Linked DNA regions of Oryza sativa Japonica Group. The protein of the gene in region 6 binds, or shares a complex with, the protein of the main gene of each other region. Links are inferred from orthologs where the notes say so. Each region holds a gene or a part of one and is shown on either strand. Other genes may lie near its edges.

Region 1 (4,212 bases), on a different chromosome or scaffold from region 6:
CTTCCCCGACGACGATGGCAGCCTGCCGACGCGGGCGTCGGTCACCATGAACGCTTACTACCAGGCCAGGGGGAGGAACTCATGGAATTGCTTCTTCAACGGCACTGGCCTCATCACCATCACTGATCCCAGTAAGTATTAGCCTCTTCAAAGCTTGCTTCACTTGCTGTTTCTTTCACCTGAATCCTGCAAATTTACATGGCTTTCTTGCCAACCTTTGCAGGTTCTGGCAATTGCAAGTATGCCTGAGTTGAGAGTTTGCTCCAAGTTAGCCAGCCAATCTCTGGAGCTTGACAAATAAAGTTTTCAAGGGATGTTTTGTTTGTCCAAGTGCCCCTAGAAAATATGGTGTTCTATATTTCAGTGTCAGAGTTGCTAGAATTCAAGTCATGTTTAGCCTCAATGTTTGGGTAATCTTTAGAGAGGAATGCTTTATACCGAGATAATATTGTTCCATATCTTCAGTGCAGTTCTTCAAAGTTCAAAGAGTATGAATCCTAGGCATGTCTTAATTGTATTTGCATAGCACTATATGGTCCTGTGCTGCTGTGAACGAACAGTGGCCCAACTATAATAAATAAACATGAAGTTATGCTCAAATTATTTCAGATTAAACGAACCAGCTTGAAACTATTCAAGTTACTGTAAATTACAGTGCTAGGTTTAATTCCTAATCCAACAAGTACTACTGGAATATTGTTGAGCATCAGCTAACTTGATACTAAAACTGAGTCTACATGTAGCATCGGCAGCTGGCATTCACATCTCCACCTTCATCTGTTCATGACTCCAAAATGGGTTCCGTTACCTGATATGACAGGAAAGCAAACATAAGTCATTTTAGTGATACTACGATCATACGTAACAACACTGTGTTGGAATTTTCTGATCAACAGAAAGACAAGCCCCCAGAGGGTTTTATGAAAGCATCTTGCGAGGGATTAATATAACAGGTCAACATCCACCATAATTATGTTTTGTTCAGGCCATCATCGTACATAAACTACATAAACCAATAATTGATCATGGACATGATGCCAACAGCCATCTAGTAAATGGTGCATGTAGAATATTGTACTGCAAAAAGCACCATAAGAACAAAATTGTTATCAGTATCCTGACTTCCTGATAATACAGTGTACCAAGTTTGGGAAGTCAAGCGGATTATACAGCTGGTCACAAAATAATCCCATATCATAAGCGCAAGCATAATTTTTTGCAAGCACAAAAAAAGCTAAAGATTTATTGAGATAGTGAAGGGAGAAATCCAAACTTACATTGATAACTATTACTCTGGCTTCTTCAAGTTTATACAATGATCTGTAGCTTCATTAAAAAGAGCCTCAACTTGCTTCAGCTCCAGCTCTACAAAAGCAACAAGACATGTAAAACACTGGACTTGTAAATAATCAGTTGTAACATGGTGAGGAATTATATAATGAAGGCAAAATATTCCAAGAATGTAATAGCAAAGCATACCAGCAGCTTCCAGTTGTTTCTGAAGCTCTGTGCCTACAACTTCATTCTCTGCCTGCGCATTTCAAATTCATAAGCATTTTAGCTGCAGGACACAAGTATCATGAATACTGATACTATGGCAGGACATGCTGCCGAGCGTCTGCTAAACCTTCATTCAGAAGAAAGCAAGCGACTAAGGAGGACAACCTTAGTATGAAACTCCATCCACAAGGCGTAGGAAAAAAAAAACAGAAGGAAACATGCACAAAGATACCATCTTCACAAGACACTAGCTTAATGTCACCCTTTCACAATGTACTGCTCAGAGGGCAAAACTGAGACATACCTGTAGCTCTTTAATTCTTTTCAGCTGATCCTCTTCAGATGATAGTGGCAACGCAGAAACAAGAGCATCAAACTGCATAAAAAAACCAAAAAAAAAAGAGAACGGTATTGGAAACAGTAGCTAGTAGCACATTTCAAGTGTACTCTCAGATGCAAAGTTTGCCCTCTGGAGACAGAGGTTGGTGTGCTGCATACCATCATCCCACCTACATTTTGCGAGGAACAGTACAAAGATTGGTGTGATCCACATCATCGTCAACCCTTCTTTGCGAGGAATAATATGAGTGAAGCTCCTATTTTGCAGATCCATTCAAAATTATCTCGAGAGGGCTAAAAAACAGCACAATGCAACTAAAGTACTCTACCACACTACATGAACAATCTCACTATAGAAGATATGATTCTGTAAGTAGAAGAATTTTCAAAGAACCAGGCACCCTGACCGTGGTTGCAATCACACAAAAATGCTAAGGCTGGTCACACCAAAAATTACAGTCCAAGCCCTAAAGCGTCAGACCCCAAGAACCAGCAGGCACTCAGGCATTTCATCGAGCAGGTGGCAAGCAGAGAAGATAAGCGACGGAAGACGCGTACCTTCTTGGCGGCGAGGACGAGCGCGTGGCTCATGGCCTTGGGATGCTCGGCGAGGTCGAGCGCGGGCGGCTGGGCCTGCGCCGGCGGAGCCTGTGCCTGCGCAGCCGGAGCTCCCGCCGCCGCCGCCGCCGCCGCTCCAGGCTGCGGCTGGGCGGGGTCGTCGGGGTTAGGGTTTGCTGCTGCGGCGGCGGCGGGGTTGAGCGGGTCCGGGTAGTTGTTGGAGAGGCGGACCGGCGGCGCGTCCCGCTGCAGCGTCCCGAAGGTGTTCACCGCCACCATCGCCATCTCGTTCAGCTGCTCCTGCAGCTGCGAGATGATGTCCATCTCCGGCGATCTCGTCCCCCTCCTCGCCGCCGGCGACCTCCTCCTCCTCCTCTTCTCCCTCTCCTTCTCTCTCCTCCTCCTCTCTATCCACCAAGGCCCAATTACATCTAGGCCCATCAAAGAAAACTGGTGGGCCCAGCACATCGACAGTGCGCAAGCCACTCTCTGACTGGCACGTGGGCCCATGGCTAGCTTGATTACGAAGGAACCAAGGGACCCCACGCGGAAAATTGCATCACATCACCACCACGCGTCCAGATCTGATCCACACACAAATGGATCGGACGGCCCAGGATTAAACCAAACTATTACTAACAATTAACTCACCCGATTAGTTAACACTAATTGAATCGGACTTGGACTCTAATCTAGACTAATATAAAAAGCACGAGTTGTTTAGTGTAATTAACACCATGATTGCAATTAGCGCCGGATTAATCCTGCGGTTACAATTAGCACCGGATTAACACCGCGTCTTGCTCCGAAAAAAGAAACTGCACGCCAAAAAGAACGAAAAAAAGAACGCACGCCAGCCACGCCGCCCGCCTCACCTGCCGCCCGCGTGACTTCCCACCTCGCCTCACCCGACCATGCCAGGCCTCGCCGCCGCCGACAATGTGACTTCCCACCTCGCCTCACCCGACCATGCCGGGCCTCGCCGCCGCCGCCGACCATGAGCCTCACCCGCCGCCCGCGTGACTTCCCACCTTGCCTCACCCGACCATGCCGGGCCTCGCCGCCGCCGACCATGAGCGAACTCCACGAGCAGCGCCAGCGACCGACCCACGCTGCCCGGATCGGAGGCGAAGGACAACAGCCCGGGGCCGCCTTCATCGACGCCGTGCGCGCCCAGTCGATCCACGGGAGCGCGGCCGCGGCCGCAGAGGCGGCGGGGGAGCGGTAGGTGATGACGTGGACGCGGCTCCTCGTGCTACCGGCGAGCGGGACAGGAGGAGGAGGAGGAGCGCGAGGGCGGACGCGGCGGCCGCGGCCACGGAGGGAGCCTATCATGGAGGAAATGGTCTGAGGAGGAGGAGGAGCTAGGGTTGTCGCAGCCTCTTCAATGGTGATCTCCTGCAGGAGGCGAACGGGAGCAAGTATCAGCAGCAGAAGCTGGGTGGTGTGCCCTCGTCGCAGCCGCATCATCTGAATGTGAGTGACTCCACAAGAACGAGAACCCTGAATTGAATCTGACATTTACCATTGTTCTTGCATCATTCATCCAGTGGTAACGTTTTACATGTCTTGGATTGTTGGATGACATTGATTTCAACACTGGAAAATTGTTGTTTTTTGCTTCGGGACAGCAGCAAGTTACCCCAGCATTGACAGCCTGCAGATCGACCACAAGCCGGCGACTGCGGCGGGACGCCAGTTCGGCTCGGCCTCCTCTCCTCCTCCTCCGCCGCCGCCGCCTCCGAACCATCCCCAACGTCATCCCCTCCGAGCACGGCCGCGCCGCCGACCACGCGGGCTTCCTCGACGCCGTCG
Region 2 (4,414 bases), on a different chromosome or scaffold from region 6:
TGTATATTTTGCATGTACATGCATTATCATCGTCACATATTCTTCAATCTTCATTAACCAAGCCTTTCTAAACTCATTGGGAAGGTATCACCTTAAATTGCATTATTTTCTTATCTTACTGTTGGATTGTGAATAGTGAGGTACTGACCACCAAGGAAGCATATTGTGGCAGTTGAATGAAGTGGTTAAAAGGGGTTATCTTTCTAAGAGGTGGCGTGTGGAACCACAGCCGGTCATTTTCCCAATAGAGAGGTTTTAACATTTTAGCCACAACACAGGACATCCTCAACTTATGCAACTGGTTTTTTTATATGGTTAACCAAAAATAGAGATAATTTGCCACCTATGTTCCTAGTGTGGTAAACATGTCTATAACGATCGACGATACTATTATTTCAGTTCAGTAATATAACTGATCAATGGATGCTGTTGGGAACAAGGGTGATTGCTGATGCCAAATTGCCAAACCATCTCACATTCTCACCATTTCAGGTAAAAAGGATCTCATCTCTTGCACTTGCATGGCAATACTAGAGCTGAGAAATAATCATACATAACTTTTTGAGCTGCATGCCTAAGGAAATCAATTTCAACAACTGTATATGCTCCTAGTTTTGCTAGAATATAAGTACAAACCAAAACAATTAATTGCTTGCTGTGTACTGCTCTAATCTGTAGTTTACTATACATATATACAATAGGTAGTATACCTGGACTACTATTGTATAGTATTGTACTAGTACAAATGTACAATAAAACCAAAAAGATGCACACACCGTGCAGTTTTCAACTCACTCAGGGTCCTCTTGCACTTACTTGACCTTGAGTGCAACTTTGTCACCTTCAATGTAGAGCTTCAAGGCGGTGATCACCTACCCCGGCAAGTCGGCGGGGCTCTCATCACCTCCGTTGTGTCGACATACCTCGCCATCCTCTGCACCGGGAGAGGCACCGGCAGGCCTTTGGGGAAGATGCCGGAGTTCCCCTCACCTTCTTCCCCCGCCGGCGGCGGTCGGCGCCGCATGCTGAACAACGCCGACAACAAGCCGGATTTGCATGGCACGATGAACGACCCATACTATTACGATTGCCGGATCTTGGTGGATGCCACGCCGGAGAAGTCCAGCCGCAAGAAGAGCACATTCGTGAGGCACTTCTCCTGCACCTCCAGCCACGCCCTCGTCAAGATTGCTGCCGCAATCGTCGATCCGCGTGCCGTTGTACTGCACGGGCGCGGTGCGCACGTGCGACAACAACGTCAACTCGCGTAGCCGGCTTGTTCTTCTTGCCTTCTGGGAAGAGCCGAATGAGCGGGCCTGTTTGGATTAATTGGGCTGGATGTTGATTTGGATCGTTGTGGTTGTCTTTTGTTGGATCGGACTGGGTTGGGCTTACAAAAATGCGGTTTGGTTTGGGCTGGATGCAGGCTGACTAGAAAGTTGATCCATGGGTTGTTTTTCTTTTATTTTTTATCAGAACCGCACGGTGAGCAAGGAGGTGGTGGGGCCACGGGGGAGCGGGGGCACTCCAGGTCGAGGGCGGAGCGAACTGACCCGACCACCACCGCCCCCTTCTTCTCCGGTTCAAACCGGCGGCAAGTCGCCGACCTCTTCCGCCGCCCACCGAGCCGCTTCTCCGGTGAGCCCCTCTAAGCCCTCCCGACTCCGCCGATTTAGACCGGGCTACACTAGAAAGGGTACCCACGCCGGCGTAGTTGGGTCTCCGACTCGTTGCTGCCCTAGTCGTCGATCTCCCCGTCCCCTCGCGGCGCGAGCTTGCCCGCCGCCTGGCCCGGAGCAGCGGCGTCCGTCGTCCTGCTGCTTCCGCCGCATCCTCGCTCGCCGGTGAGCACCCGCGCGCGCATCCTCTTTCTCATAGCTCTCTCTACCCACGCCTTTTCTGCTCGCTTTAACCTTAGCTTCACTTCTAGATCCGGGAACTTCTCTCTTTGCATTAAAACCATAGTACTAGTAACAGCTTGCTTCAAAAAAATTGGGGGTTCAACTGAATCCCCGTGCCCCACCCTGCTGTTTGCACCCGGTTCTCTGCAGCTTGGTTGGGGAGGAAGACTGTGGCTGTGTTGCAATGCGAATTTGGCTTGTTCGCAGATGTTATTAGGATGGTGGACTTCAGTAGATTATGTGAGTAGGCTAAAGCCTAAAGGGAAGGTCGTTCTATCATTGTGATGTGTTTGGAGGGGCTTGACTTAAATAGGTAGCTTCCAGATCAAGTAGTTTCTATATGCAGTAGGTCATGGAAGCTTAAATCATGCATGAAAGTTACACCTCACACGAGGCAGAGGTAGGGAGTTTGGAAATATATACCTTGTTCCATGTGTTAGTAATTGCTCATGTGGAGCAAAGATATTGAGGCTCTGCCATTTGTCACATCTTCCATTGAAAGCAATTGCTTATTTCAATGACACCTAAGCATGAAAACTGAAGATCTTATCCCCTTTGCAATTTGTGCATTGGGAATAAACAATTCTCAGCCACTGCATGACCATTAAGAACATTTGCATTTCTCGTTGAACCATTTTGTGTTTACTGTTTACCATTTGCCCCATCTCATGCTTCTTAAGCGTATGATATTGCAATATGACTTGTTCCAGCTCATTAGATCTGGAGTGCAAAATTTAGAGTAATAGGCCCCCTCTATCTGCATGTCACACACATCTGATATTACTCTTTCTTGTATGTATGTAGAACCTTAGTTCCATTTGTTATACAGATGGAATCCAAACTTATTATATCTCATTTCACAGATAGAGGTACATGTTGCATGCCTCATCTTATAGGCTTGTACTTTCCAGGCTGAAACTCCGGTAATCGCATAAACCAACAGAATATGTGGACAAACATCTTCAAGCTTGTAAGTCAGATATCTCACTCCTGTTTCCCCTTATGTTCTATTCAGTTTATGTTGGGCCTCTATTTACAACATGGGAATCCGGTATCTTCCTCCATTTTATTCACATCACGAATGCAATCTTTCCAGTCTTGCTTATAATGTCATTGGGAGTTTTGTTCTATATTGGTCTTGGCAGTAGATAAAATTGTTTTGATTTCATTTCTTTGGTACATATTATTTTTTCAGATGTTTTTGGGATGCTAATTAGAGACCCTCGGTGCTATGTTTACTCTTGCATAGGATATTTGAAGGTTGACATATTTGATCGTAGTCACTTTTACCTATTTCTGATAGAAAAAGGTTGAACTATTTTGTTGTTTGATCCATTTTTTGAGGGGACAGCATCAAGGAAAGCCCTAATAAAGCAATAAACCTTTTTAAATGAAAACAACTTGAGAAAGTTAAAAAAGAACAGGACAAGCTGCTCAACCTGTCAACCAACAACATCCACTCAATTTCGACAGCTGATTTCATGAGTTTCACAGTGACTCCAACTTGCTCTAGATTGTAGGAGCATCTTTCTCCATCTGAAGCAATAAGAAGTATCTCCTTGGAAGGTTTATCTTATCCTGTCCAGCCAACAATGTAACTGCCAAGTGTAACAACTCTCTAAAGAAATCTCTAATAGTCCATGCCATCGGTCTTGCATGTGTCAAAAAGGTCCAAATTCCATTGACCCATTCATACTGTTTCAGTCCCCCCAGACACAGAATCTTGTTGCCTGGCTAGTGTGAGGGTAGCCACTTTCTATAGTAATGTATGGGATTTGTGACATGAGTACTATATGCTTGCATAAATATGATACCTCAACTTTCGCAATTATACAGTGACAAAAGTAATGGCAAAAAAGGATCATGGAGATCTTTAAGAATAATGGCCAGATAAATTTACAGCTTAGGCCTCGAGATCCTTCACAAATTGTTTTCCCTGGCACCTTGTGTCCTATCAAACTTTCTGTTTGTTGCACTGGTATACCTTAAATAAATTCTTTTGCAATAAAAAGCTCATAAAAGGAAATAAAATAACGGAACCCCTGGCTAGAGATTTTAGATAGTACATCTGCCAAATGTCAGAACTGAACGCAGGTGAGAGTTGTTACCGACTAGGATGCCACAGTTTGATTTTTGGGTAGGTCTGCCAGAGTCAGGTAGGGCTAACTTTGCAATTTTTCAGATAGGATTTGTGTGTTTCATTTTCTTTTTGTTTATTGTGTAGAAAATTTGATTGTCCACAATCATGAATCATATATAGTCTTTTAATCTTAATTTATATGTTTGGCCTTTATAGGGGGAGCTCCAAAATGTATCGTGGTTTCAGTTTCTTCCTGTTGAACCAGATCCAAGTACAGCTTCTGAGAGAAGGTGTTCTTGGCCTTTTGTGATGTCTTCTAGTTGCCTTTGTCACTCTTTACTTATGTTCTGATGCATTGATTCTTTGTTTGGATTGCTGTTCTTCTTTCAGTTCAAAAGCTGAGCAGAAAGATGCTCTTAACAACATTGTGCTG
Region 3 (4,178 bases), on a different chromosome or scaffold from region 6:
TAAAAAAGGTGAGGCCAGGCCACTAGGTACAATCGCATGTGGCTGATAGCTGTTAAGTTTAGTATAGTAACCCATTTTTGTAAATAGTAATAAACTTCGGGTATCTTGTCATGGGGACTAGGGGATGATCCGAAGGCTTGAAGCCTTCAACATAAGTACATACATCTAAAGAAGCACATGAATGAAGGGCGTTGGAATATTTCCGATGCATTCTGTGTAAAATCAAAATAAAATATGGATGCAACGAAAACAAGAACTGATCTAATACTTCAATTCCTACAAAAGCACTCCACACCTTGGAAGAATGTAATTATCATAGTAGAAGGATTAGAGAAAGCAAAGTGCAAAAGAAGAAACAAAAGAGGGAAAAAGGAGAAATAAGGGAAAAAGGGGAAAGAGGGAAACAACAGTACAAATTTAAAGGGGAAAGAGGGAAACAACAGTACAAATTTATCGGCCAAGAAAATTATCGTATATCGCAGGAAGAAATAACATGGTATAAATATTTAATCTGCATTCTGCAATGCACGGTTGATGAAATCTCACACATCAACAGAATATAAATAAGACAAATAAGCACATCATATTGTGGCAGCAAACATACAACACAACAATGATGGTAATGAAATTACCTAGTTCTGTCAACAGCTGATGCACCAGCCTGACCAGCCAGCTGACGCTTCCAAGCATATGCCACAACTGCACCATCTGGACAAACAAGTGGCATGTGCAAGCCCCATGAATTGCCTCTGGCTTTAAGGGCTCCATTTAGAACTCCAGACTCTTCCAATTGCCTTCCTAACAGCAATGGATACAAGATATTTATTAGGCTACAGTTTAAAAACTAGATCTTTACTTTCAGTTGGCTAGGCCAACACTTATGAAGAAATAGTGGAACTTGAAACTTGAAGTTCAATAAAAATAATTGGAACTTACCAGGAGAACTGTGTAAGCAATGATTGATGGTTCATCACAAAGTAAAAACATCATGAATAGCAACAAGCACAACTAACCCAAACACTATAACAAGAATACTGTGAAAGAACAATAAGAAAGCACCAGCAAAATCGAGTGAATCCATCCTGTTCACATACCTAACTTTATTGAAGATGGCTCCTAATATCCTTTGACTTAAAAAAATCTCAGTCACATGGCTTAAGCTTATCTAGTACTCCTAACTTCAGGATTTTCACAAACTAACTATTCTGTCTAAAATCATAACTATATCACCTGCAAATTTCATCTTCCGTTTATCTAGCAACTTCAGGTTGCAGAAAGACTCAAAAACCATCGTTTAACAAGCAGTTCATATTGCTTGGACATTTTATTCATCAGACAGAATAGTACCATGTTGCCATGAAACATGGATTTTCCAAATGCCTGCAGACTTCTTCAACAAACGACTGGTCAAGTGGTCACATGTAAACAATTGTACCCAACACATAACTGCTCTGCTGAGACAATATTATAGAGTGAGCACCTACCCTACATCCTTACCATCCACGAGTGATACTAAAACTAGTTCGAGCCCTGAGTGGCACTAAGGTGGTGTTTGGATCCAGGGACTAAATTTTAGTCCCTGTCACATCGCATGTTTGGATACTAATTAGAAGTATTTAACGTAGACTAATAATAAAATTAATTGCATAAATGAGAGCTAATTCGCGAGACAATTTTTTTAAACCTAATTAATCCATAATTAGCACATGTGTACTGTAGCATCACATAGGCTAATCATGGATTAATTAGGCTCAATAGATTTGTCTCGCGAATTAATTCAAGGTTATGAAATGGATTTTTTCATTAATCTACGTTTAATACTTCTAATTAGTGTTAAACATCTGATGTGACCGGGACTAAAATTTTAGTCCCTGATCCAAACAGCCCCAAAACAAGTTCAAGCTGAAGCTGTTCAATTAAGGTTAAATATTGCTCTATTACAAGCCAAGGAACACGAGTTCCAGAAATGCATCCCAATCTGATAGACCCAGGCACCCAGCCAATATTCTAGAATGCTAAAGTTCATATACCAAAGTTGAGCAGTTAAGCCTGTCCGTGCATCTCTCGTAGCAAGGTTTCATAGGTAGAAGGGTTTCACAAGATACAAGCAATTGGATAACACCAAAGAAGAGTGTGGCATCAGTTTATGGTGATTAACCATTATTACAGAACAATTTAGTGGAAAAAAAATGTGCTGCCATGCCTAAACTGGGAAGGAGATTATTACTTTAAAAAAAGTCCAATCATACAATCCAAAGAAGTTAAATCAATATCCCAGCCACCAATTTCCAGAAATTATCTAGACAAGGGTTTTCCTTTTTCTTCTTGAGACTGCAACCGTGGTATCATGACGGGAATATTTCTTTTTCATTTTGAGACTGCAACCGTGGTATCATGACGGGAATGTTCCTTTTTCATTTTGAGACTGCAACCGTGGAATCATGACGGGAATGGTTCTTCTCGGAGGGAATTAGTTGTATTTTGCGACGTAACAGTCAAAGGTTAAGGAATCGATGAAAAACTTCTGAATCGGAGAGTGTGGGGGCACGGGGCGGAGATGGGTTTACCTCCCGAGCGCGCGGAGGTCGTCGAAGTGGCGGTGCATGGCGGCCTCCTCCTGGGCGACGGCGAGCGCGGTCTTCTCAACGTGCTGCGGGGCGCTGTGCGGGGGCGCGTCGCCGGCGACGAAGAGCGCCTCGAGCAGACGGTCCGCGCCCAGCCGGATGTCCGCGATGAGCCGCCCCGCCCGCCCCAGCCGCTCCATCGCCTGCGCCACCTGCTTCGGCGGCGCGTCACCCCTCGCCCCCTCGTGCTGGTGCCCCGTCGCCCCCGCCGCCGCCGCCGCCGCCGCCGCCACCGGCGCGGCCACCACCGCCGACGCCTGCGCTTGCTGCATCTTCCTCTTCTCCCCTTCTCGCTTCCGACTCGAAACGCCTCACCTAAATAAGCCCATATCCAAACAGGCCCAGAACCAATACAAGCCCATATCTATTCAGGCCCAGATCCAAACAAGCTCGTATCCAAATTCGGCCCACGCCATCGGCTTCCAACGTTTCGAACGTTTGCGCTTCGCTTCCCACGCGGCGGCGGCGCCACCACCACCACCCTCCGCCATGCCGCTCGCCGGCGGCGAGCCCCGACCACCACCGCCGCTCCCGTCGCTGGTCAAGCTCGGAAGGGCCGTCACGCCGCGCCGCGTGGACATCCTACTGGCGGCGCTCCTCCGCCGGCGGAGGCACCGCCTCGTCGGCGCGCTCGCCTCGCAGGCGGTCGCCAACTCCGTGCGCCCCACCGCGCGCACCCACCTCCTGGTCGCCTCGGCGCTTCTAGATTCTTCCCGTCCGCGCGACGCGGCAGCGCGCCTCGCGCTCGCCGGCCCGGCAACCTCCTCCGCGCGCCGCCTCTGGGACGCGCTGCTCCGCCGGGCCTGCGCGGTGCGCGGCGATGCTCGCCGCGCGCTGGAGGTGCTCTCCGCCGGCGTAGAGGAGTGCGGGCTCGTGTTTTCTCCGTCCACGTATCGTGTGGCCCTGACGATGCTGTGTGCCCGCGGTGACATGGAGACCGCGCTCAAGGTGTTCGACGTAATGGCTGCAGCGGGGTGTCAGGTGGATGATCGTGTTTGCAGCGTGATCATTTCAGGCTTCTCCAAGGTCGGGAAGGCTGGGGATGGGCTGGAATTCTATAGGAGGGTGAGGAGAGAGTTCAATGGATTTGAGCCAGGCTTGATCACATTAACCGCTTTTGTCGATGTGCTTGGCCGTGTAGGGAGAACTACTGAGGCAGCACAATTGGTAAGGGAGATGGAAGGGAAGGGGTTGGTTGGTGATGCTGTTTTATATGGCAGCTTGGTTCATGGATACATGAGTAGCGGGTTATTGATGAAAGGGCTCCGTGAGCATCGGGTGATGTTAGATAAGGGCATTGCAGCTGATGTAGTTAGTTATACTACTGTTATTGATGGACTTTGCAGAGAACGTAGTGTGGAAAAAGTGATGGGATTCTTGGATGAGATGAACCGAAGGGATGCTAAGCCGAATTTGATCACTTATACATCATTGATTGGTGGTTTCTGCAAGAGAAACAGGTTGGATGATGCTTTTTCTATAGTGAGGAAACTGGAACAGACAGGAGTGGTGGTGGATGAATATGTTTACTCAATTTTGATTGACAATTTGTGC
Region 4 (4,132 bases), on a different chromosome or scaffold from region 6:
TTTGCCTATGTTGTTGTGCCGTCAAATGCTGCTGGGGTGAAGGGGTGTTCATCATATTGGTCCCTGACCTAGGGGAGTTTGCATATGGCATTGGAGGAGTAGATACATTTTCAAAATTAGGCGTTCCTGTAGCTCCAGGTGATGGAGCAGGTCTGCCAAGTAACTGTCCTCCAGACACCTGCTATTAGAATGAAGGCCCAAATTTGAACATCAAGATAGAAACATCAAAGGCCTGCATGAGGTCAGGTTGGTGATTGCTCTTATGAAATGCAATTGTCTTAATAATAGTTCAAGGGAAAGCATTCTAACCAACACTTAATACAGTTGATCATAGAAAGGAATACCAATATACCATTACAAATTATATGGCAAATTGATACACGGGAAACAAAACATCTGCCTTTTGTAACTTTTTTTGCTTTCAGCCCAACTAGCAATAATATGGACATATTCTATTAATTTCGTAATGGTCAAAGCTGTTATTACTGGCACTAGACAAACCTGCATTGGATTTCCCTGGGCGTTGACAACATTAGGTACAAATGTTGAGGTATTTTTGGGGTACACACCTGCAAGTATAGACTCTAGTTATATGCTTTTGTTGAAGCATTGTGTGACATACAGACTGCACAAATGGCAACACTAAGGGTAGCAGCAAGTTATTGATTATTTTTATATAAAAAAACATCTAGAGCAGATGAACAACTCATTGATGCTATAGTTCCAATGCTCAAAACAAGGAGTGAACCATGGAGAATTGTAGGTATGTCACAGAAACAGACCAGAATTATCACCAAAATTATGTGCCCCATCTCCAAAAGGAAGTACGTCCACTAAATGGCTAGGAAGAGATGAATACATCTGCCTTTGGTCTCCCGGTACACGCAATCCTGGATAATCAGACTAAATCATCATGGACTATAAACAATGAAATTGTTACATAAAAGGAGAAGCTTATGCTAAAATTAAATTCAAAGTAATTTTTAAACTGATAGCTATATTAATACACCATTAATGCTTATCACCTTCACCATAATTTACCGCTGCTCTAAGTAGGCCTTCCTGCTCCTGTATCTTTGCAGCCTGTGCCTTGTCCAATGTAGGACCAAGATTTGCCCCCTGACGGGCTCCTAGACCATAATTCTTGCGACTTTCAGCAATTACTTTCTCAGCTGTTTCACATGCACTTCCAATCATATCTATCCTAGTCTGAAAGGAATAGCAGCAAGTCCCATTAAAATTAACAGATAATGAAAAGATCACGCAGGTATAATAAGCTACATAGGTTTGCATTTTCCAGACAGAAATAATCACCTTTAACTTTTCAATTTGTCCAGAAACTGTTAGATTCGTTATTCCAGACAACAAGTTGTCCCTCTTTGTAGCTTCTTCAGCTTCCATCTCAGGTAACAGCTTTGACGACAGCATTACAGGCAGTACTGCAGTACTCACGAATATCAAACAGGACTAACGATGTGGTAAAACTAGAAGCAGATGAACATGGGAACACAAATTGCGATGCATCCCAACCATATACAGCAACCGTGACCAATTAGCATCTTGTTAGGTCATTTTTAGATTCCTATCACACTTATCCCAGAAATAGGAAAGTGTTGACAAAAATGGCTACCCATGCTACATTAGGAATATCTTTACCAATTTACCCTAGGATAAAATTCGTTTAACTAAAGCCAATTAGCCATATCAGCCTGAAGTTTAATCTCAATATTTAAACCAAAGGAATAACTATTGCTAGGAAGTGAGAAAGGTCAACAATTGGTTCTTCATGTGTAAAACAACTCGTAAAAGAAATGACATGTATATATATGAACTACTCATTACCAAATGCAGCATAACCATAATATCTCATATATCCTTGTTGCTCATAACAGAAATCACATAGTATATTTCTTGGTTCTCATAACAGGTGACCTGTCTTCTCATCTGGCTTTGGGCACCATTGAACATGAGAAGACTCTGTTTGGTAAGGTCATGGAATCAAAAGTGGTCTGCTTAGCTGGGTAGCGTGTAACAGCTGCCCAAGGCAATATTTTGTGAAGGTTTGAACTACGCAGAGCAATTCCATTCTACATTATGTTCATGTATTCTTCTTCCCACAAACTTTATGCTTGTGGATCTACCTAACTAGTGTGGTTATTACTGATATAGCGATCGATTGGTGACACAAGAGAAGAGAAGTGGAACAGCAAGCATACTGGCAGCGTTTTCGGCATTAACGTTTCGGGGGTAGACCACAAACACCTTGGACACCTTCTTGATGTCCTCCACGATATTGAAGAGCTCCATGCTCACCATCGAGAATTGCCCAAGCACATCCTGCCTGCCATACACGCACCACGGCACGAATCAGCATTGCATAAACCCTAGAAAGGGGAAGCTGAATCCTCTACAGAGTCCAGCGGGCGATCGGGGGATGGGGGAATGGAGGTGAGGCAAGTACTACCACTTGGGGGAGGCGTTGGGGTTGGCGCGGGCGATGGCGTCGAAGTCCTCGAGGATGCGGGAGATGGCCTTGTACAGGCCCACGGCGCGCGCCCGCATCCCCTCCAGGTTCAGCTGCTGCTGCACCCCGGCGCTGAGCCGCTCCGTCCGTGGCTGCTGGTCCCCTCCTACGGGCGCCGCCGGGTTCGGCGCCCCGGCGGCCGCCCCTAGCGCCGCCGCGTCCATCCGAGCTCGCCGGATCTGCTGCGTGGAGGAGCTCGCGGGAGTTGGGGGGCTTCACAGGAGGCGGAGATGGCTTCACGCCGGCGGCGGAGGCGGCGGAGATGGGCCGTCGGAGTTAGTAGGGCGGCGCCGGAGAATTTGAGTGTTGGAGAGAGGGAGACCGCGAGATGAGGACGGGAGGGGGAGGTGGTTTTTCCCCGTTTTCACGAAAACCGGTAAAATCGGCTCAAAGTTTGTTAAAGAAAAAAAGAAAAGGTTCGCTTTGAATATTTTTTTTCAATAAAAACTTACCAAAGAAAACCGAGCAATTTGTGTTGTCCTGTAAACCATGGGATACGAGCGAAATAGACAACAAGCCTTGTTTAGTATCCGGAATTACTTCATAGTAATAGGATACGTTCCATTTCATGTTATGTTGCTTTATATTGAGACGAATGAAGTAGATTAATTTATATATTTCACGAGGAAATTTTTTGATTTTTTAACCGTTAGATTCGCTCCAATATTCATGTAACTGGGGATGGGAAAAATGAATTTTCTTGGAAGAAACACTTCTGATGCTATGATAGCATGGTTTTTTAATGTAGTTACATATAGTTAATATAATTTTATTATAAGTAGTGAAGTCGTATAAGTTGTAATGGGAAGTACTAAATTTATGACAAACATTACATGATTAGAGTTCATTTTATGACATGTTCTATTTTTTGTCAATTAGCTCCAACATAAACTCATGTTTTGAGCAAACCCCAAACATCAATATTTTGGTCCCATGTTATCTCCTTCTACTATTGCATAGGCCAATTTCATACTACCCCTTATAAGGTTTTAATCCAACCCAGACATAGCGTTGTATGTACTACAAACAACAATAAATTATAGTAGAGTATTCTTGCTTGTGAACACTGAAATCATATCATTTAACTCCTTATATCTTAAATCTCAAGTTTTGTTGCTTTCCATAAAATTGAGGACAATGCTAACAGTAGGAGCTAAGATCATGGTACTATTTGTTACTTTTTTTAAGTAAAATATATGGCCGGTCTCTAAACTTGTGTTGTGCTGTTACTTAGGTTCATGAACTTGAAAATTACACGTTTAGGTCCGTGAACTTGGTTTAGGCTGTGTTTAGATCCAAAGTTTAGATCCAAACTTCAGTCCTTTTCCATCACATCAACTTGTTATACACACACAACTTTTCAGTCACATCATCTCCAATTTCAACCAAAATCCAAACTTTGCGCTGAACTAAACACAGCCTTAATGTATCACCTTGGTCCAAACGTCCTTTGGCTGTGTTTGACCGCCAACGTGGCATGCCACGTAGGCAACACTTTCGCTCTCAGCTCCCTCCGCGTCACAACACGTCGCATATATCTCCTTGTAGCTATATTGTGACACCAGAATCCCAAAAAAGAAATCCTCAAATCGCTTTTCCCTCTCATTC
Region 5 (4,137 bases), on a different chromosome or scaffold from region 6:
CTTTCTATATGAAAGTTGTTCTAAAATATCAGATTAATTCATTTTTCAAATTTGTAATAATTAAAATTTAATTAATCACATGTTATTATCACCTCGTTTTGCGTGAAACACTTAATCTTCATCTTCAGGAGATTCAAACACTACCTAATCATTTTTTTATTTGACTATCAATTTAGATTTGATCTTTTAAATATTAAGAAATTTAAGGGGCAACTTACAAAATTTACAATGAGGGTAGGTATGATGACATATTCACTATATGACATATCTCCGTTTTTTTTTTTGAAGAAGTATAGATTAGACCAATTGACTAGCCGACTGGGTACATCGGTCGTACTCCCCAAAATGGCACCAACCTAACCTAATGCTATATTAGATTCTGCTATAACTTATAATCAACTAAGGAGTATATTACATCAATAAAAGAAATATCTACCGATAACATTAAGTTAATTGTGACTATCACTGATCGATTAATTAGATGTATTTATGACAACCGCATGCATACGTGTCGAGCAGCAAAGAAGTGTGTTCACTTTTATGCTACAGTAAAAAAATCAGAAAGTCACGAAGTCAAGCAATATATGTTGCCATATTTGATGTTTAACACAAGATTAAATACACAAACATAAAGATAAATGGGACTTAAACAATATGCATAGGAAAAAAAATATTAGCATTTCATGTTTCTTTTTTCTAAAATACAACGGAAATTCACTGACTCCATATGTTCATATTGTAATCTAAGTTTATCTTTCAGTTAAACTTCTCTAACACCGGTTGGCTTTATAAAAAAAAATACAAAATCTGTAACACCAAATTAGTTTAATTAGATTCATCATGAAATATGTCTTTATTGCATTTATTTATTATTTTATATATTGGTGCATTTTATTCAAACTCAGACAATTAACTTAGAAAAAAATATTTATAGACCTAGAATTTTTCCCAAATAGAATTCCAGATTTATTTTCCAAATAGAAATATCATAAATATCATTATATATATATATATATATATGTATATATATATATATATGTATATATATCTATATATCTAATAAATCAAACTAAGTCTAAATAACTCTAAAACATTTATACATCCTAACAAAGGTATAAATATTTACAGGGTACTTTTAAGCTATGTTCTTCCCCCCATTTTCCCAACCCACCTATCTTGTTTTCCACGTGTACGCTTTTCAAACTGCTAAACGGTGTGATTTATAAAAAAACTTTATATATAGAAGTTGTTTAAAAAAATCATATTAATCTATTTTTTAAAATAAAATTAGATAATACTTAATTAATCATGCAATAAAATAAACTTCGTTTTGCGTGGCAGGAGGAGGGGTTCCCAAGCCCCTCCTCTGAACACAGCCTTAGTAGGTGCGCCAGGCGCACCCATTTTCTAGTAGTTTTTGGAAGAAGGGTTTCATTGCAATTTTGCGATCCCCACCTCTCTCTCTCTCGTCTCTCGCTCTCATGGCCGAGCCGCCGTCGCAGTCGCCGGCGCAGACGCCGCCGCAGGCGGCGCAGCAGCAGCAGCAGGGGCCCGGGGAGAGCGCGCGCGACGACATGATGGCCTGCGTGGCGGCGCTGGAGGCGGCGCTGCTGCCCTGCCTCCCCGCGCGCGAGCTCCAGGCCGTCGACCGCTCCCTCCAATCCTCCCACCAGAGTACGTCGGACTCACTGAGACTGACCCCGCCGCTCCCCCTCTCTCCTCCCTCTGCAGCCTCCCTTCCCCGTCGTTCTTGCGCTTCCCCCGGCCAAGATTTGGCGCGGCTGGTTTGGTTCGACTCGCCCGCCCGCCAGGTGTTCGCTGTTTTGCCTACGAGGTGGGGATTAGGAAGCCCCTCGTGCTCTAGCAAAATGTGGCGAAGTTATTTTTTCTTTTTACTTGCGCTGTTGGTACGCGGGCGTCTCGCGGGTGCTGAGATGAGATTGAGAGGGTGGCATTTGAGCGTTCTACATCTGTGTGCTCAACTGTCGATGTAGAAATTGGATTCTTTTGCTTTGTTGCTGGTTAGCAAAATAGGGATTCTAAGGTGTTGTGGTTGTTATAATGTGGAACAGTTGATGTTGAGAGGCACGCGAGGGATTTCATGGAGGCTGCGAAGAAGCTCCAGTCTTACTTCATCAGCCTGCAGCGCGAGGACCGACCGTCGACAGAAGAAATGCTTCGAAAGGTACATTGCATTGCTTTCGGAACAACTTTGCTTCGAAAGGTACTCCTTGACTTCGAAATGATTAGCAAATTAGAACTTTGTGATTAGCAAATTAGCCTGTAGGTAGAACTAGGACCTTGTTTGGGGGAGCTTAAGATTTTGAGAAGCAATTGGTTGGTAGTCAGTTTATGAGAATATGAAGAAGCTGGAAAGTTAGGTTTCTTGTTTCTAGTTTATTTTCTGTATTCTTTAACTACATCTTCTCAGAATCTAGATGAAAAGCTGAACTGTTTGAGTGAGCTTTTAATTTTAGGAAAAGCTGCAGCTGCCAAAAGCTCCCTCAAACATGCCCTAGGTTGGGTAAGCACAGAGTAACGATTTGACACCAGAGTACACAGACATGGGAGGCTGAGAGCTTGGGGATGGCGAGGGAAAAGGTCTAAAAAATATTCAATTTTCAAAGATAAGGGCTTGAGTTTGTCTCTTTTACAGTCTTGAATTGACTGGGCCAGCTCTAAATCAGTCCCGTATTGTTAGCACTAATTCTCTGAGATGTCTAATTGAAGTTTTTTTTCTGTGTTAGTACTCGTTGTGCTCAACATTTTAGAGTGCTTGAGATCCAATGGTTTTTAATATTTGGCCCATCAATAAGTTTAAAGCTATCTAGATTGGTTGTATAAAATCCATTTGACCCTCTCTTTGAAATCAATTATATTGATGTTATATTGCAACCGTTGTAAAAAAAAAATTGTGCATCGATTTTTCTCTATAAGCTTCATGGGAGAAATCAAGAGAAATCCTATATGGCGTGGTCCCCAAGCTGTAATAATCAAATAATAATGTGTCATCATGTTTTAACATGTCCAGTTTCGGTTTGCAGGATATTGCTATAATGGAGGAAGAGCTGAAGACCAAGTCCGAGCTCATCGACAAACATAAGAAGCTCATCGAAGGGTGGCAGAAAGAGCTGAAGGACCAGCTGGGAAAGCATGTTACTGAACTCGAAAGAGTGTGACACCACTGTCTTCCATGAAATGTCCCAGGCTCCTTCCGATGATCAACCTGAGTAGCCCAGTGCTGGGCTATGCCTTGGAGATTTTGAGTACGCCAGCCAGGAAAAAAAAAACACCACAACAATGTTTTAGGATCTGACCAGTTTGCCGAAGACGAACAAATTGCGCTGTATTAATGTTCGTTGCTATGTTCGGTTTATCATAATATTATTGTTCGTAGTTTCTCGTGTGCTCTCCATCTCATCGTGTTAGGCATGCCTAACATGTTAAACTTTTAGATTTTTCGGAGCAACATCTTTTTCCCGATTATAGGAGTGTATGATAACATGTGTGTTCAATGGAATTGTCTAATTGCCTCACTTGTCATTTTAGATGTTTCTTTCAACATATTAATGATTTAATGGTAATTGAATCCCACAGTTGCTGTCAGGTGACCATGGTGACACAACTACACAAGTATGACTATGAGATGGTAAATATTTTAACGAGGCTAACAGCAATAGCATAAATGTAAATCGTCTCAAGCTGCCATATTTTACACAAGGGAACACGAGTGGAACTAACTAGGAGAACTCACGACTGCAAAGATGGTTCAAATTTCATCTCATTCCTGAAACACACACGGGCAGCTGAGCAGTAGTACATTAACATGGTTGTCATGGTGTAGTCTACCTAACAATGAAAATCTATGGATTATGCGAAAACTTGGGACTACAACATTCATCGAGCAAGTCAATAGTACATTTACTTCTTCGCATACGAGATAAGCATCTGGTTATCTTTCGTAATTTTGAACCCCTGAAGATGGTTCATGGCAGCGGTAGCCTGCCCCTCGTCGCCGTACTCCACGAAAGCAATCCCAGGCTTTGCTTCAACCATTCTGACTTCCTTGAACCCTGGGTACTGACAGAAGAGCATCTGAAGCATCATAGGGGTCGTCTCATGTGGGAGGTTTTGGAC
Region 6 (3,639 bases):
TATAAATATTTGCTGTAACTTCTTCGGGTGAAAACTCTCTCAAAACACGGGCCTGCAGTAAGATTAAAAAGACATATATACATAGAGAGAATCTTTTATGTCAATATAATTGCTAATTAGAAATCATACAAGATTTGCACTGTTGATCTCTAGATGTCCGTTCATCAGCATCCAAGCACCAGCACAAAGATATTGACGATGCTGAGGGAAACTGTGACTTAAATATGTCATAACATAGGTTGGCTCAGCAGATGGTGAGAGTAGCTGATTACATTGATTAATAACAGTTGTCTCAGCCTGCAATGGAAGATAAATCATCAAGCATAAAAGGTAAGGAATATTTTGCCCTAGAAAAGCATTTCATTTAATAAGCATGTTATAGCAACTAAAGGACACCAGAAATAGTACTGGCTTGGAAATTCAAGACTTTTCGAGATCTTACAATTTTCTAAAACTAGTCTTGCTATACTGCTAATCTAAGCCTATTTCAAAACAAGACTGCAATTTTTATCTTAGCCAGCTAATACCATTCTAGAGGTGAAAGAATTCATTGCCGTTTGTAATAGTAATAGTACATAAAAAAGTGTAAAATCCATCAGTACATTCTCCATCAATAGACTGCTTATAAAAGAGTGATTACATGGTTTTAAAAAAATCAACTAACAGCAGCATGATTTGGCAACAACTGATACAAAAGAACTATAAACTCCCTAAATTGTTATTCGACGAATGTATATGAACTCCATATAATAGTCAAAAGGAGCATATAAATGGCCAAGACACCAAGTACTCAATCCAAAAGATAAGATAATAGTACCTGCTGCCATGCTTGGATAGCTTGGCCTCTCTTATCCATCCTCCCCATTAAAAAATCTCGAATAAGGGGAGGAAAATATCTTAGAGTCTTCTCTGACCATGTATGCTGGCTCGTTGCCATAATTTGCTCTAATAATGGTTGAAGATGAATTATATGTTCGACCTCAGCAATTCCACGTGTCTTCATGGTGATAGCAAGGCTTATTATCGTTATGCGGTTAAGTGTTTCAGTAAACTCAGTTGGACCCTACATTTACATAAATAAAGAAGTTCACTTTATGCGAATTTAGTAACAGGTGAAATTTCCAGATGAAGCAGGTTACCTTCAATTCTTTTTTCACCAAAAAGAAGTCTCTTAGTGAGAGAATCAAATTCATGCACAAATTTTCTGCTAATCTAAAAAGACGATGCTCTCCACGTTTGACTTTAATCATTGATATTATCTTTGTAACATCATACATCAATGCCTTGCTTTTCCCATGATACCTGAGCAGAAGAAATTCACATAGATGTAAACCAAAAGGTGCACCATAATATAAACAATAAATGGAACAAAACACTAAGATTTTTTCTAAATGATCATCAAACCTTTTTTGCTGAGGTCAGACATTCCAATTGTGGATATGCATGATAAGAAAAGGCTTTCAAGGCAAATAGCAGAAAACAAATATTAAATTACTTAAATTACCTGTATAGAGGAAGTAGCCTGTAATTCAGTATCTCAAGTAGGAGCAGAGACACACCAGATTTGCTCAGGATAGATGGAGATCTTTGTGTTAATGTCTGCAAGGTTTAATAAAACCATAGGAAGACATCAGAGTTTAAAAAGGAATATGAATTGCATGTTATTGAGGAAACTGAATTATGCTTACAATTGCAGAAAGTTAATTTAGAAATCAGAGCAAATGAATAATCAACTGTTAATCACAAGGTAGCATAAAGCCATAAACTTCACATGAATACTACAGATTACAACAGGAGGCAAGACTTACCGTAAAATGCGGGCGGAACAATGAATGAGGGGTTATAAGCAGCAGTCTAACATAGGTTTCCACTATAGCAATGCTAGGAACATTCTACCAAAGAACAGAAGAATTATGTAAGAAAATTAGTGTATGGTAAAGAGAGATGGACATTAGTACGTCAACAGAAGAACATATAGTTGTGATTATATGGGCACTTCTAGCAAAGTCATTCCGAAGATCAAAAATGATGAGCTGGTCATATACCATTAACATATAAAGTTATAAATCATTCATATATTACAGCTAAGTTCATTAACATGAGCTATTATGCCAGGAGATCTTAATAGATAAAAGATAAACATATGAATTGCTTGTCATTTTATTTTTACTCAGGATAGATTGTAACATATTGATTCTGATGTTTTTCAGTAATAATTAAAGGCACATGAGCACTGGTCTCCAAACCATAAAGAGCAGAGTTAAAAAAATAATAATAAAGATAAGCAGCAACAGTGTTTTTACCTGGCCAAGAAATATGGTCTCTTCAAGCTGGAAAGCAAGTTTCAAACATAGATTGATAGACAACCCAGAAAGCAATGACATAGACAGTGGATAAGTTTCACGCATCATTGTCATTCTTTCATTTGGCTGCAAATTGGGTCCCTGAATTAAATCTGCTACTCCTACTGATGTAAACCAGTTCATGACTGCTTCACATGCTGGTTGTGCCATGGTGAAGGAGAGAACCCAAAACATGCCCATCGCCCGCTCATCCAAGCTCGTAAAATCTATCATCCTCTCCCCAGAAGCTATTATTGCAAGGGAAACAGTAACAAAGCTTTATTACAGATACATGAATGGGGACAAAATTGAAAATAACAGTAATGGTTTACAGCCAAATATCTCTCTTTTCAAGAAAATGTATCCACCTCCTGAATTATGAGTTGTGGTGTTACTATGTAGAATTTTCTACACTTAATCAGTCCATATTGCCTACCCAGAATCTACCGGAGAATTTCTTTTCCATGAATTCTAGATCTACCAGGCAATATTTTATATCAAAAGCATAGTGATACTTTCATATTCCATGAATAAGGACAAGTACCAAGTACCTTTTGTCATTTGTCTCCACCACTCATCTATCTGTTTGCCTTTCTGAAGCTGATCACTGTTCAAATGCTCTCTAATTGAAGTGTTGAAAGACCAAATCCGCAAAGTTTGGCTGCTACTTATGAAATCAAGAAGAATACTTTGAGGACTGATATTATTTGGATCAAGGCTCTTGTCTTCTTTGTGGAACGAAATTATCTTCCTTGTAGTTTCAACCTGGTAACAGAAGAAATACCAGAATGGTATATAGAGTTATAGACGGTAAATTAAGACAACCACAAGACATCATGAAAGGAAACATTAGAAGTATTACCAAAAGTTTGTATGTATTTAAAGTTTTATAGCAATTGGATGTGAGATTAGTTTAGCTGAGTTTGTCGATCGCTGTTATTACTTGTTAGTCCTTGCAGTTCCCAAAAGATGAGCACGAAACAAAATAAAGCACTCTGAATATTTTCATGAGGAAATCTTTTTTTGGTACCAAAATCATGTCATCAACTAATCAATTGAATATGATTCACCAAAAGAAAGAGGTGTTTGCAGATGATCTTAGAAAGAGACATCACCTTCCTTGGGTCCGAACTAAGGGTGTTCATCACAATCTCAATGCGGATAATCTGTGCGAGTAACCAAGTGACATGATTACTGCGAAGAATCTGTTGATCACTATTTGTTACTCGAGATGCAAGCTTGTCCACGAAATCAAGAAAATCAATACAGCCACTTTTCATCAGAAAGAAAAAAATGT
Region 7 (3,639 bases), on a different chromosome or scaffold from region 6:
TGAAATGTGTGCACAAATTGCTAAGGCATTGGAGGCAGTTGATGGGCTGAGCATAATTCCTGCACACCTAGGAGCAAAGCTTATGATGAAAGCTATCTGGAGGCTGTTTGAATCGTAGTCGGTTTGGAACATAAAAACAGCAAAATACTGCTGTAAATACTGTAAATTCCATACATGGCATGGTTAATCTGTGGCATATCATGCCTCATCCTCATGCATGAATAGGTTGTGGTTTACAAATAGCTTATCATTCAAAAAGGTTTGCAACATCATTTGCCCATATTAAGTCTATAGCCAAAAAAAGGAAAACGAGATTAGCAAATTGAACTGAAACTGTGGACCAGGAAATCAAAAGAACATGAAACACAGTATACCTGGATGCTTAAAAGTAGAGCTGGGTCAACAGTCATTTTGTCAGGCCCAATGCTAGATAACATGTCACTGGAAGCTTGCCACGGTTCAGGTAGCAGAGTTGATGGATTTATCAGGGCAGACTCAATTCCCTTGCCAAGCATATCCAGAAGCAATCTTGCTTGCATGTCCAACACAAGTGCTCTGACATCTTGAGCATTTGTTCCTTCCAACAATCTACACTTTATCCTATCAAGATTCTGCAATAAGTAAAATAGACTAATCAGTAACAGAAGAAAGCAATAGCCTTGCAACTTCAAGTCCTCAAAATCTGAAGTAAAAGGTAAACACACAATTAGAAAAACAAATCTTGTCCAACTCACAAATTACAATATATTGCATTATGAATAAAGTAGCAAACTACATACTACCGTAAATGGTCTCTGACCAATACATCCAGAGATATAATTTATGTTCATAGAAAAGTTTGGCAAGCTTCATGCTAAAATGTTCATTCAGAACTGCAAAGCAGTGCTAGTGACTTGTCACAAGAATACTAAAAAACTATGTCCAGGAAAGAAAAGGAAAAAAGTCATCTTGATTATATTTTGATTCGTATCCCCCTTTCAACTACTGGTGGAATAAAGACTGGTGATTGGTGAATGTACAATCTTTAAGAACCCAAAAAGATATTGTGACATGCATGTCACATAGTAATGGCAGTAGGCAGTAGATGATGAAAAATTGAAGGCCTGTGCTTAAAACTGCACATAATGTACTAAAAGCACAGCACACTTACAGGACAGTGTTGTTGCCTCTGTTGTATAGTTGGAAGACAATGGAAGTCCGCGTCCAGCAAAGCTATCACACTGTTCAGTGAGACTGGAAGGAAAAGCAAGAGATTTAGTTTATCATGGACAAATATAAATGTTACAGGTGCTGAAATAGTTAACCAACCATATGTAGAAAATGATGAAACTTACTGAAAAGTTCTGTATCAGCTTAAAAAGATGTATTGCAACTCACACCAGGAAATAATGTTAACATATTGAGACATCCAAATGGGAAAAATGAAGCAAAACACAATTCATCATACTGCAGATGCACAATGCTTTCAAATTGGGAGCATAAATGTGCAATCAGCTCTAAAGTCTTAACATTATAAACAACCAAACAGAGATTTGCTTGGTTACACTGTTCTTAATTACTCCCTCCGTTTCACAATGTAAGTCATTCTAACATTTTCCACATTCATATTGATGTTAATGAATCTAGACATATATATCTATCTAGATTCATTAACATCAATATGAATGTGGAAAAAGCTAGAATGACTTACATTATGAAACGGAGGAAGTATATACTTTAAGAGGTTGAGTGACAGTTGTGGAAATTCTACCGTGTAGCAGATAATCCCTACTTTTCTAATTGTGTGGACAGCTAGAACACAATTGAAATGCAAATACTATACACAAATTTTAAATTGCATCTGCATAAGCATCCTTACCAATACCATCTTCAGCAGCACTTTGTGTGCAGCCAACAGCATCCCACCAATCCACACCAGCCAATAGACTCCACCAAAATCTGCTAAAAAGATCGCAGTTATAAAAAAAAACATTTTCAACAAATAAATCATTTCAATCAACCTCTGTTAACTTGGGTGGATACCTATCTGCTATTGCTCGTTCCCAAACAGCTGAGCTAACCTTTGTCTGAGCATTAAGAATTGCAGGAGGAAGCACACGTATTATCTTTAGTATGGTTCGATCTTTGAGTGTGTCATGCCATACTGATGCCAAGCAACAACCACTGGAGGAGAAGGCTGGTGGAGCAATTGCTGAGCCAACATTGACATGATAGCTATCAACCTGTTCAAAGTTTGGACCTGAAAAAATGTGCACACCTCCACGCAGGAATGCAACTGCAACCTCACCACCATGAGCAGAATAAACTATTTGGGCCAATTGTCTGACATCATTTGGAAGATCATAAGGGTCAAAGCTAAGTCGGTTCGCCCTGTCAACACTGCACTCAGAAGAACTCCGCTCATCTGAAGTTGTTGGCATTGGAACATATGATTGAGGGTTCTTAAGGTCCTCAGATGGTGGGATGCTTTTGTTAACTCTTGTGGACCAAACAGTCTGTGTAGGTGGCTGTCCACCAAAGTTTGCAGGGCTTCCAAATATTGGATGAAGAACAACAGGTTGGACTGAAGATTCCCAGCACTGGACTCTCCATCCAGTGATGGAAGGTCCTTCATCAGGATCATAAGGAGACATGTACTGCCCTGGAAGTATGTGGTTTAACAATTGTCAGAAAAAATAAATAAGCATTAGCCAAGAGCCTAAGATCAACCGATTCACTTAATAAATTTCAGAGACCCCAAAAGTCCTTAAAAGAATATGCATATAGCATTTACAGACAAGAACTTTTATTACCATGGCACAAGCTACCAGAGCAAATCAAAGAAACAACAAAAGCAACTAAAGGGAGCTAAAACATGTATAAGCATGCTCTGGACATACATAGTTAGATTAACTCTCCTACTATTAAAGCTGTTGGATGATCATAGGATTAGTGTGGTGATTATGAATGGCATTGATGTTCATGCCATTCATCAGAAACAAATAGTCATAGTGAGATGTGACAATTGCATCATACTAATTCATTTCCCAGGTGTCATATACGCACCTTCAACTATTACAACTGTAATAACTGATCCCCCTCGAGTGGGATCAAAAGCAACTGAGGTAACCCCAGATCCCCATGTTGTGGTAGTGGCTGACTGGGCAGCAGCTTCAGGACTGACGTAAGCTGAAAAGTTGGAAACTGGACAACAATGGATCGATGCTACCTCAGTGGTCTCATTATCTACCTGTGCCTGTTTTTTTGTCTGTGCGCCCTCGGAAACAAGGTAGTCTTGCAAAGAGAAGAGGTAAGATGCAAGTGGAGCAAAACCAGCCCAGAGTGGGGGATTTAGTGATGGAGGAAGAGAGCTTGTTGCATTTATCTTTGCAGTTGCCTGAATACCATTGCCAAGGCCTGGCATCACCTCCCAAACCACTACAGTAGATGGATTAACAAGGGGAACACCAGCAACATGTAATGCTCCAGTTTCAGTAATAATAGCATCAGCAGCCATTATGCCGCTTGGCCCTGCTCCTAAAAGCCCTTTGCTAGTAGAAAACCATCTAGGTTGTGCTGAGTTTTGAGAAGGCCATTGTGACCAATGAAGCTGAACAGAACCCGATGAAAAAACTGAACAGACACATAGAATGTTTGGCC

What was found.
Region 1: mediator of RNA polymerase II transcription subunit 23 (region 6) and mediator of RNA polymerase II transcription subunit 21 share a complex: the UniProt entries of both Arabidopsis thaliana proteins name them as parts of the mediator complex. The link is inferred for Oryza sativa Japonica Group from reciprocal best matches to the Arabidopsis thaliana genes AT1G23230 and MED21.
Region 2: mediator of RNA polymerase II transcription subunit 23 (region 6) and mediator of RNA polymerase II transcription subunit 13 share a complex: the UniProt entries of both Arabidopsis thaliana proteins name them as parts of the mediator complex. The link is inferred for Oryza sativa Japonica Group from reciprocal best matches to the Arabidopsis thaliana genes AT1G23230 and GCT.
Region 3: mediator of RNA polymerase II transcription subunit 23 (region 6) and mediator of RNA polymerase II transcription subunit 27 share a complex: the UniProt entries of both Arabidopsis thaliana proteins name them as parts of the mediator complex. The link is inferred for Oryza sativa Japonica Group from reciprocal best matches to the Arabidopsis thaliana genes AT1G23230 and AT3G09180.
Region 4: mediator of RNA polymerase II transcription subunit 23 (region 6) and mediator of RNA polymerase II transcription subunit 8 share a complex: the UniProt entries of both Arabidopsis thaliana proteins name them as parts of the mediator complex. The link is inferred for Oryza sativa Japonica Group from reciprocal best matches to the Arabidopsis thaliana genes AT1G23230 and MED8.
Region 5: mediator of RNA polymerase II transcription subunit 23 (region 6) and mediator of RNA polymerase II transcription subunit 28 share a complex: the UniProt entries of both Arabidopsis thaliana proteins name them as parts of the mediator complex. The link is inferred for Oryza sativa Japonica Group from reciprocal best matches to the Arabidopsis thaliana genes AT1G23230 and AT3G52860.
Region 7: mediator of RNA polymerase II transcription subunit 23 (region 6) and mediator of RNA polymerase II transcription subunit 16 share a complex: the UniProt entries of both Arabidopsis thaliana proteins name them as parts of the mediator complex. The link is inferred for Oryza sativa Japonica Group from reciprocal best matches to the Arabidopsis thaliana genes AT1G23230 and SFR6.

Annotation. Positions count from the first base shown.
Region 1 is NC_089042.1:2,024,934-2,029,145, forward strand, and holds mediator of RNA polymerase II transcription subunit 21, read right to left. Parts: upstream 2,837-4,212; 5' UTR 2,722-2,836; coding exon 2,398-2,721; intron 2,097-2,397; exon of another isoform or gene 2,014-2,096; intron 1,877-2,013; coding exon 1,805-1,876; intron 1,532-1,804; coding exon 1,480-1,531; intron 1,366-1,479; coding exon 1,289-1,365; 3' UTR 1,278-1,288; intron 809-1,277; 3' UTR 575-808; downstream 1-574. Other genes in the region: major pollen allergen Ole e 10, read left to right, coding at 1-131, 224-249. UniProt on the Arabidopsis thaliana protein: Component of the Mediator complex, a coactivator involved in the regulated transcription of nearly all RNA polymerase II-dependent genes.
Region 2 is NC_089039.1:22,067,987-22,072,400, reverse strand, and holds the start of mediator of RNA polymerase II transcription subunit 13, read left to right. Parts: upstream 1-1,499; 5' UTR 1,500-1,638; exon of another isoform or gene 1,639-1,844; intron 1,845-2,764; exon of another isoform or gene 2,765-2,812; 5' UTR 2,813-2,847; coding exon 2,848-2,871; intron 2,872-4,197; coding exon 4,198-4,271; intron 4,272-4,371; coding exon 4,372-4,414. UniProt on the Arabidopsis thaliana protein: Component of the Mediator complex, a coactivator involved in the regulated transcription of nearly all RNA polymerase II-dependent genes.
Region 3 is NC_089035.1:8,936,695-8,940,872, reverse strand, and holds the start of mediator of RNA polymerase II transcription subunit 27, read right to left. Parts: upstream 2,922-4,178; 5' UTR 2,897-2,921; coding exon 2,568-2,896; intron 795-2,567; coding exon 633-794; intron 1-632. Other genes in the region: pentatricopeptide repeat-containing protein At5g57250, mitochondrial, read left to right, coding at 3,114-4,178. UniProt on the Arabidopsis thaliana protein: Component of the Mediator complex, a coactivator involved in the regulated transcription of nearly all RNA polymerase II-dependent genes.
Region 4 is NC_089037.1:18,123,802-18,127,933, reverse strand, and holds the start of mediator of RNA polymerase II transcription subunit 8, read right to left. Parts: upstream 2,861-4,132; 5' UTR 2,689-2,860; coding exon 2,465-2,688; intron 2,342-2,464; coding exon 2,217-2,341; intron 1,440-2,216; coding exon 1,315-1,439; intron 1,210-1,314; coding exon 1,026-1,209; intron 891-1,025; coding exon 783-890; intron 570-782; coding exon 502-569; intron 182-501; coding exon 1-181. UniProt on the Arabidopsis thaliana protein: Component of the Mediator complex, a coactivator involved in the regulated transcription of nearly all RNA polymerase II-dependent genes.
Region 5 is NC_089039.1:3,232,213-3,236,349, reverse strand, and holds mediator of RNA polymerase II transcription subunit 28, read left to right. Parts: upstream 1-1,409; 5' UTR 1,410-1,481; coding exon 1,482-1,674; intron 1,675-2,072; coding exon 2,073-2,185; intron 2,186-3,044; coding exon 3,045-3,179; 3' UTR 3,180-3,536; downstream 3,537-4,137. Other genes in the region: U1 small nuclear ribonucleoprotein A, read right to left, coding at 3,922-4,137. UniProt on the Arabidopsis thaliana protein: Component of the Mediator complex, a coactivator involved in the regulated transcription of nearly all RNA polymerase II-dependent genes.
Region 6 is NC_089036.1:31,041,843-31,045,481, forward strand, and holds part of mediator of RNA polymerase II transcription subunit 23, read right to left. Parts: coding exon 3,458-3,639; intron 3,108-3,457; coding exon 2,894-3,107; intron 2,591-2,893; coding exon 2,304-2,590; intron 1,893-2,303; coding exon 1,809-1,892; intron 1,600-1,808; coding exon 1,505-1,599; intron 1,303-1,504; coding exon 1,140-1,302; intron 1,064-1,139; coding exon 818-1,063; intron 298-817; coding exon 130-297; intron 53-129; coding exon 1-52. UniProt on the Arabidopsis thaliana protein: Component of the Mediator complex, a coactivator involved in the regulated transcription of nearly all RNA polymerase II-dependent genes.
Region 7 is NC_089044.1:19,711,407-19,715,045, reverse strand, and holds part of mediator of RNA polymerase II transcription subunit 16, read right to left. Parts: coding exon 3,046-3,639; intron 2,642-3,045; coding exon 2,023-2,641; intron 1,939-2,022; coding exon 1,859-1,938; intron 1,234-1,858; coding exon 1,151-1,233; intron 612-1,150; coding exon 375-611; intron 1-374. UniProt on the Arabidopsis thaliana protein: Component of the Mediator complex, a coactivator involved in the regulated transcription of nearly all RNA polymerase II-dependent genes.